Ovis aries: one gene and its partner. The protein of the gene in region 2 purifies or fractionates together with the protein of the main gene of each other region. This does not show direct contact. Links are inferred from orthologs where the notes say so. Each region holds a gene or a part of one and is shown on either strand. Other genes may lie near its edges.

Region 1 (3,806 bases), on a different chromosome or scaffold from region 2:
GAGTCCATTCCCTCGGGACTCATCTGGGCGCCCCCTCCAGCTCCTCCTCAGCTGTGAGGCTCACCCCTGAGTCTACCCCTTACCTTTGCTGCTTTCTCTACACACCCAGGGCCCTTTCTCTTGACTCTGGACTGCCAACGTGACCTTCTCCACTCAATCCCCTGGATCTGGAGCGCAGGGGTCCTTCTGAACAGGCCTGTCCACACTACAATGGAGAGCCCCCCTGGTGCCTGGGGCTGCTGCTCCTGATCTAGCACCCACCACTTCAGCTTGTGTCCAAAAACCTGGCTTCCTTTCAGCCGTTCCTAGGGGCCCAGATGCCACCATAGCAAGAAACAAGTATTTCTGGCTCCTAGCCAGGACAGAGGAGATGACAACAGATACGATTTCTCCTGGCACATCTCTGTCACTCACTCTTAGGCCTGTGAAGGACCTGATACACACAGAGTCCACCAGGAGAGCAAGGCCAGGGTCCACTGGGACGGTAATTTTACCTAAGGGGGTCACCCCCGGGCAGATGACGCCCACCCCCTCAACTCACAGTTCTGCTTCTCAAGGCAGCCTTCACCACCCCTCTCAACCCCTTCCCAAGGCAAATCTGAGGAATGTGCAAAAGACCACTCTGTCATCAGTCAGCTGGGTCTGATCCTTGGGTCTCTCTCTGCTTCTCTATGTGCAAAACGGGCCCTCAGGGCATGTCCCAGGGCAGAAGCTGGCAGGGCCCATTCACACACAGTGCCAAGGTCAGGACCCAGTGACCCTGGGTATACAGTCAAACCTTCCTCACCTTGATCTCCCAACCTGTGAGATGAAGGAAATAACTGGATGCCCACAGGGTCACCCAAAAGACAAGTCACAGGGTAGCTGGAACTGTCCCACATGCTGAGCATGTTTGCCATACGTGTCACATGACGGAGGCCTCAAGTTCCTCTTGGAGAGCTGGGCATGGAATGAACCCCTAAGCCAGACATCACAGGGTGGAAGGACGGGGGTGGGTCAGAGGGCACAGCACAGCTGGCCCATCAGTCACTGAACTGGACAGCAGCAGGACCAGGCACCAGCAGGGAAAGGCCCACGTGCGGAAGAGGCATTTCCTGTGGAGACTGTGCAAAGCCTGCTTGCCCGGATCACACCAAGACAGGCACAGGCTGGTGCTCCTCAGGGGCACCGCTCAGTGCTGGGCTCTCAGACAGGCTGCTCAGCCTCAGCACAGGCCTCCTGGAGGAGCAGGCCTCCTGGAGGAGCGGGCCTCCAGGGCACAGCCACGGAGGAGCTCCGCACCGCAGCTCAGGCAGAAGCAGCAGGACCAGGACGAGCAGAAGAATAACTGAAGAGGGATGGCAGCAGAGCCAGCAATGGTGGGGACACTGACCAGGGCTCCAGTCCGAGTAGGCGGTGACGGAGAGCCTCCACTCCAACCAAGAACCCGGCATGGCTCCAAGTGCCTGCCGGACCATGATCAGGGGCACACAGGCAGGGCCTCAGGAGAAAATGTACTGAGGATGTGTCGGGGTGGGGAGGCGAAGGCTTCCTCCAGAAGCACTAACAGGAACGGCAGGAAACCTGCCCCCACCAGACCTGTTCTTCAACAGCAGCATGTGCGACTGGCTTAGCTCATTTCCTGGCGCCAAAGCCAGCAGTCAGCAGGTCCCCTGCCACTCCTCTGAGGAAGAGGGACGCTGCAGAAGGAGTCTGGGCTGGGGGAGCATCTGCACCGACTCTTTTGGAAAAGGGCTCTTAGCTGGCCGTGAGGCTAGCCTCCCCCTTAGGGGGTCAAATCTACAGCTCTGACAGTCCCTTCTCCCCACCGTAACCAGAGAGCTCCTGTGTGAAGATTTGAGATCATGCACTTCTCCTGGATCCAAGCCAAGTTCCTCCCCATCCCACAAGTCTTGGTGATCTCTGATCCCAAACCAGGATGGATGACCACTTCCCACTGCTGCCAGTTCCTGGGCTCTGTCCCAAACCTTGCCAGTGTCCCTCCCACCCCTGTGGAACCCTTGCCATATACCATCCCATCTGAGATATCGACCTCAGAGCTGACCACCACTCAGAACCATCTGCTGTTCTGGTCAACCCCTCCCCACCCCTATGGAGAACAGAGGCTAACAATGCCCTTCCTGATGAGAACTTGGAAATTCTGACAATAAGGTCCCCTAAAGCCACGGCCAGGACTACAGCTCAGGTAGACCTCTGGCCATGCCTGCTCCCCTGCTGCCGCCCCACCCCATCTTGGGAACACTGGCCCTGCCTCCCACCTCTCTCAGAGGGTACTGGCTGCCCTCCCCCTCCACCTGCCCAGGCCTCTGATGGCCAGGCCCCTGTTAGGGGCCAAACTGATCCTCAAAGCTGTTTGTGGTGGCCTCTCTCTGACTTTAGTGTCCCAAGCTGGCAGGTAGACACTATAATTACACTGCTCACATGAGGAACCCAGGATTCACATCACCCCAAGTGCAGAGATGGGATCCTGCCATTCCCAGACCTTTCTGGACCACCATGGACCACATGAAGTTGGGGTAAAACAATCTGTGGGTGGCCCTGACCCCCCCCCCCCCCCCCCCCACCTCCCCCCGCCAAAGGAAGCACTTATTTGTTTTCCCACCACCCACCTAGAGTCAAGCAAACTGCCCCAGTTTCACTGGTTACCTCCTTCAGCTCCTGAGCCACTGAGGCCAGACGCTCATTCTCTGACTGCGTGTTGGCAAGCACGTTGCGCAGTTGCTTCAGCTCTGTCTGTAGCTCTAGCACCTTGCGTACATAGTACTGCTCCTTGGAAGCTGACTCCTGGATCAGACTCTCCTCTCGGCTCTCGCCATCTGCAGCCACCTTCTTATGGTTCGTGTGGGCCTGTCCAAATGCCTGTAGAGGATGAGATTCTCTTGAGAGAGAGCCTGGAGGTAATCCTGTGGCCAGACATGCAGGGGAAAGTGGGGAGGGGACTTTTCCCACAGGAAAAGCAAGATACCTAAGTGCAACATGAGGGCTGTGAAGTTACAGAAATCTGGGGATGGAGCTAATGAGGAGCCCTGGTGGGGTAGGTTGGTGGGAGTGGCTGGAAGAACTGGGGCAGGGCAAGGATAGGAGGTCCCAGCCATTGTCTCTGCCAGTGTGGCCCCCATCAGCAAACAGACCCCTGTCCTGGGTCCCGGCAGGGAAGCCCCCAGCACTAGGGTGGGTCTGAGGTTCTCTTCCAGATATGGAAACCAAGGTTCAGGGCAGTGCCCTTCCCTTGATTGATCCTGATTCACTCACCTGGAAGACACCTGTACCAAAAGAGGCCTGAGAAGGTGAGAGCCCAAGCCTGGTACAAGTGAAGCTTGTGCCAACTGATCCCCACGTGTGTCCTAGCTGGGAGTCCCTGCCCACCTGCCCAGGACCTGGGCACAGAACTGAAAATACCCGAGGGGAGAGGCCCTACCATCCCCAGACCCAGCAAGGGCTTTGGGCTCTAAGAGCAAAGGATCTTGCAGTGGCTCCAGGAGAAGCCCGCATGAGCAAGTGCAACTAGAACTGGTGCTGGCCTGCCCAAGTCCATGCCCCAGGTCCCGGCCAGCGTGGACACACCATCATGTCCTGTTCATCCAGGTGTCACAGCCCCAAGCGAGCACCTTTGCTTCTCTTTCCCTCCCACCCTGCATCATCATAGTAGCCAGGACTCGACCCACATAGGCCTTTAGTGTGCATCCTCCCCAGGGACCCCCTCCTCACCGGCCACCCCATGCAGACCTCTGAGGGGGAGACCCTGTCTCTTTACAGGGCTCCTGGCTCACAGAAGGAAAATAAAAGAGAGAGGGCTATTAAAGAGC
Region 2 (4,347 bases):
TGAACTGAACTGAAGCGAGGGGAACTTACCCACCTGAAGCGAGGTCTTGGAGCAACATCCCCAGGTGTGTAGCAGGACATAGGGGCAGGCTCACTCCCTTGGGGAAAGGGATACTACCAATTAGAGAGGACTTGACCTCCTGTTAGAGAAGGCAATGGCACCCCACTCCAGTACTCTTGCCTGGAAAATCCCATGGATGGAGGAGCCTGGTGGGCCACAGTCCATGGGGTCGCTAAGAGTCGGACATGACAGAGCGACTTCACTTTCACGCATTTGATAAGGAAATGGCAACCCACTCCAGTGTTCTTGCCTGGAGAATCCCAGGGACGGGGGAGCCTGGTGAGCTGCTGTCTATGGGGTCGCACAGAGTCGGAAAGGAGTGAAGCGACTTAGCAGCTGCAGCAGACCTCCTGTTGACTCATTATTTACCAAGGAAACCAGCAGAGGGACTCGCTCCTCACCATCCCTTAGATTAGTTAACATTAGCTGGGGTCTGGACCAAGTACCCTCCCAGACCAGCCACCCTTATTCACATCCAACAAACCTGAAACAAAACACACCATGATGGTTTCCCTCTTTATAAAGAAAATAATTGCTCACTGTAGAAAATTTGGAAAAATGGAAAAATCAAAAAGGATAGCCTGTAAGAGGCCAGATTAGCTCTAAGTGTTGAATAAAACTATTTTAAAAGGATAAAAAGTATCCATAACCATAAATCCTGAACTCCCTGTATACACAGGATGTGATCTTTTCACTACTGAAAACATTTTCTACAACTTGTCTTAAAACTACGTCCGAAAAATTCAAATTCCAAAAGAGCGCTTAGATATAGCCGACTGGCGCCGCGGCGTGACGTCAGCACCGGGAACAGCGCGTCCGGCTCGAGAGCCTGAGGGAGAGATATTTCCGGACGAAGCTGCTACCGGCAGGTGTCATCTTTAAGCACTTTCAACCGCGTCACACACCCCACGAGCTTCGCGTTCCCGCGCTGCGCAAGCGCGTTCACCTCTGCGCGCCGGCGTCCGCGGGTCTGCGCGGCGCACAGGATTGACGCAGCTCTCACGCATGCACGCACCCACGCAGGCGCGTCGCCCTCTCTCCGGCGACGGCGCTGCGTCACGGACCTTCGGGCGGCGCGCTCCCGAGACGACGGCGGCCGCTGCGGCCTCGGCGCTGGCGTTCGTTATCCAGAGCCCAGTCGGCGGCAAGATGAGGCGCAGCAAGGCCGACGTGGAGCGATACATCGCTTCGGTGCAGGGCTCTGCCCCGTCACCCCGGGAGGTGAGCGGGCCGGGGCCATGGCCTCCGGGCGGGCCCACGGCGGCGGCGCCATGTCCCCCGCTGAGGCGCGGCCGGGCGGCCGGCGGCGGGCGGCGGGCGGGAGACGGGGAGGCGGCGGGCGGGCGTTGGCTCTCTCTGTTTCTCTTCTTCCTCTTTCGTTTCCTGCTCTTCGTTCCCGGCGCTCGGGCGTCCTGGGCTCCACGCCGAGGCGCAGCCGCCCCGCCGCCTCTCACTCACCGCTTTGGAAGCTGCTTTCCGGGCATTTTGTTTTTCAACGGAGTTCCGGGGGTTCTGAGTTTCCGTCCGGGCCTTGTTTTTGGAGTAGACTCTGTGGCTTTCCGGCGACGTCTCTCGGGGTACTCTGCCATCTCCGGCGTAGTTTGGGAGCTGGGTGCCCAGGGGATCCCGCGGACCTTGATGCCAGAGGGTGGGCGGAGGGGGCCCGGACCCGGATTCGCTGCCCAGGGCCGAGTCGCAGCTCCGCCAAGCACGCGCTGTGGGATTCGAGACAACTGCCGCTTATTTCATTAATAGGTTGGGAGTTAGGGTATCGATAGGAGTTTTTAGGATGGGCTATGATAAACATTTAGGGCAGTGCTTGGCACGTGGTAAGCTCTCAGTAGATGTGGCTGTTACAGGGACAGTCATTCCAGGTGTTCTGGGCCGGAGCCTATGCGAATAAAGATGTATGAGGAAATTAAAACCAGCGAACAGTCAGGATTGTAACGGCACCGTAATAGTGTCTTGGTTACCACATACTAGGCATATATTATTTTACTTTGTGCTCCCGACATCCGTATCCCTGGGGAATTCAAGATACTTTTCCGGGGGCACATGGTAACCCAGCAGGATTTTGGCAGTGGGTGTGATTTCTTTTTTTCAGGAGTATGGAGTGGGTTACAGCCTATGGCTCTGGAGGAGGGGAATAGGTGCCAACCTTCAGGTTGTAACTTCCAGCTGCTGGCATAGCTGTGAATACGAATGTACCTACCAGAGTCAAAAACAGGAGCTCATTAATCATTCTCTCTGTCCCTGAAACTGATGTGGCCGTTTTTTGTTTTTTGTTTTTTTCTTCTAAAGCAAGTTAAGCGCTTTTAAGAAATTTTTAGTGGGCACCCTGGCTCTCCAAAGCCTTAAAAACCACTGTCTAGACAGGAATTAGAATGTTCTTTGAACTAGGGAACTTTTCCATCAATAAAGAAGAGTGGGCACAAAACTTTAAGGATTGGTTATTATTGTCACCTCTTTTACATTTATAAAGAGTTATTATAATCAGATGTTTTTCTTCAGACAAGGAGAAATCATTGACTTTTGAACCTGGGGACTTCAGTGGGATATTGATTAGCAAGTGCAGTAGATAACTTTGGGTCCCAGATAAAGACCTAAAAGAGGTGCTTTAATCATAATAGAAATGTTTAAAATAATAATTCAAGGAGTTAACATCCTTTAACTAGCTATAGTTGGACTTTACCTGATATTTAGCAGCCTGATACCTGGATCTCAAGGACATAGACCAGGAAGAAAGGCTTCAGGTGGCAGGAGGAGAGGGTTAGGGGACAGCCAATGGGGGACCGATTCCACTTCCTGCAGGAGAAGCGCTTCTGCTATGATTGGAGTCACAGTTGTTGCATAAGCTAAAGGATTGCTAATGAACATCAGGAGAAAACTTTGATAGTCAGTGTCCTGGAGAGACACTGCAGGACAAGGTCCTAGGTGGACCTCTAGAGAAGCAGAGAGTAAAGAGAATCCCCAGATTCAGCTGTTTAAAATCTGGTGCTAAAATAGCAAAGTTTTTATTTGGTTTCAGTTGATTCATGGGGCTTCCCTTGTAACTTGGTAGAATCTGCCTGCAGTGCGGGAGACTGGGGTTTGATTCCTTTGTCGAGAGGATCCCCTGGAGAAGGAAATGGCAACCCACTCGGGTATTCTTGCCTGGAGAATCCCATGGACAGAGGAGCCTGGCAGGCTACAGTCTCTGGGCTCACAAGTGTTGGACACGACTGAAAGATTAAGCACACAGACTAAAATAGGACACTGAGGGAGGCCTCAGGTGCAGAGTTGATAAAGGCTTGCTTCTCAGGAGGTCCTGGGGTGGATCTCCAGGAATCGGGGATGGGTGTTCAGAGTAGGAAGGTCCCTTGCCCTCAGGATCCTGATTAACCTCAAGAAATGAACTGTGAAACTTTTAAATTAGACTTTGGTAAGAGTATATTAGGTCTTCCTGGCTTCCCAGGTAGGTCAGTGGTAAAGAATCCACCTGCCAATACAGGAGACTTGGGCTTGATCCCTGTGTTGGGAAGATCCCATGAAGAAGGAAATGACTACCCATTCCAGTATTTCCTGGGAAACCCCATGGACAGAGAAGCCTGGTGGGCTAGAGCCCATGGGGTCCAAAGAGTCGGACATAACTTAGCAACTGAAACAAAATAAACAAAAACTTCGGAACACATGACAATACTATAATCGTGGGTGTAAGTGAACATGGTGCTTTGGCCAGGTTGGGAGGGAGATGGTAGAGGGAGCAGAGACAGTGGCTGTGAAGAGTATAAAAAGATTAGGGTGTCTGTACTTGGTACCCAGTTGGGCAGACACTGGCAATGTTGGACTAAGTGCTGTGATGGGTCCATAGTCATATATCTTCCCAGGCTTCCACTCATCTCTTGACTTCTTTTGTTTTGCCATTTTCTAGTCCTTTACACCTGCTTTTGATTTTGTTAGGACTTTGCAAGTGGTGCAGTTGGTAAAGAATCTGCCTGCCAATGCAGGAGGTGCAGGTTCCATCCCTGAGTCTGGAAGATCCTCTGGAAGAGTAGATGGCAGCCCACTCCAGTATTACTGCCTGGAAAGTTCCATGGACAGAGGAACCTGGCGGGCTACGGTCCATGGGGTCTCAAAGAGTTGAACGAGACTGAGCACACACAACCAATACCTGCTTTTGCTTTTACTGAAAATATGATTTCCTTTTTTTTTTCCCCTGATGGCTTCTGTTTAGTTTTTCTTAGTTTTATATCTAGTTTTATATCTTAGTTTCTTAGTTTTATATCTAGGTTTTTACTCCACGCCCCT

The links.
Region 1: the proteins of E3 SUMO-protein ligase RanBP2 (region 2) and BICD2 purify together in Homo sapiens (affinity purification with western blotting; 3 studies listed by BioGRID and IntAct, with this or other methods). This does not show direct contact. The link is inferred for Ovis aries from reciprocal best matches to the Homo sapiens genes RANBP2 and BICD2.

What each region holds. Positions count from the first base shown.
Region 1 is NC_056055.1:28,622,591-28,626,396, reverse strand, and holds part of BICD2 (protein bicaudal D homolog 2), read right to left. Parts: exon of another isoform or gene 3,798-3,806; intron 2,860-3,797; coding exon 2,647-2,859; intron 1-2,646. UniProt on the Homo sapiens protein: Acts as an adapter protein linking the dynein motor complex to various cargos and converts dynein from a non-processive to a highly processive motor in the presence of dynactin.
Region 2 is NC_056056.1:62,036,079-62,040,425, forward strand, and holds the start of E3 SUMO-protein ligase RanBP2, read left to right. Parts: upstream 1-1,318; 5' UTR 1,319-1,331; coding exon 1,332-1,637; intron 1,638-4,347. UniProt on the Homo sapiens protein: E3 SUMO-protein ligase which facilitates SUMO1 and SUMO2 conjugation by UBE2I. Involved in transport factor (Ran-GTP, karyopherin)-mediated protein import via the F-G repeat-containing domain which acts as a docking site for substrates.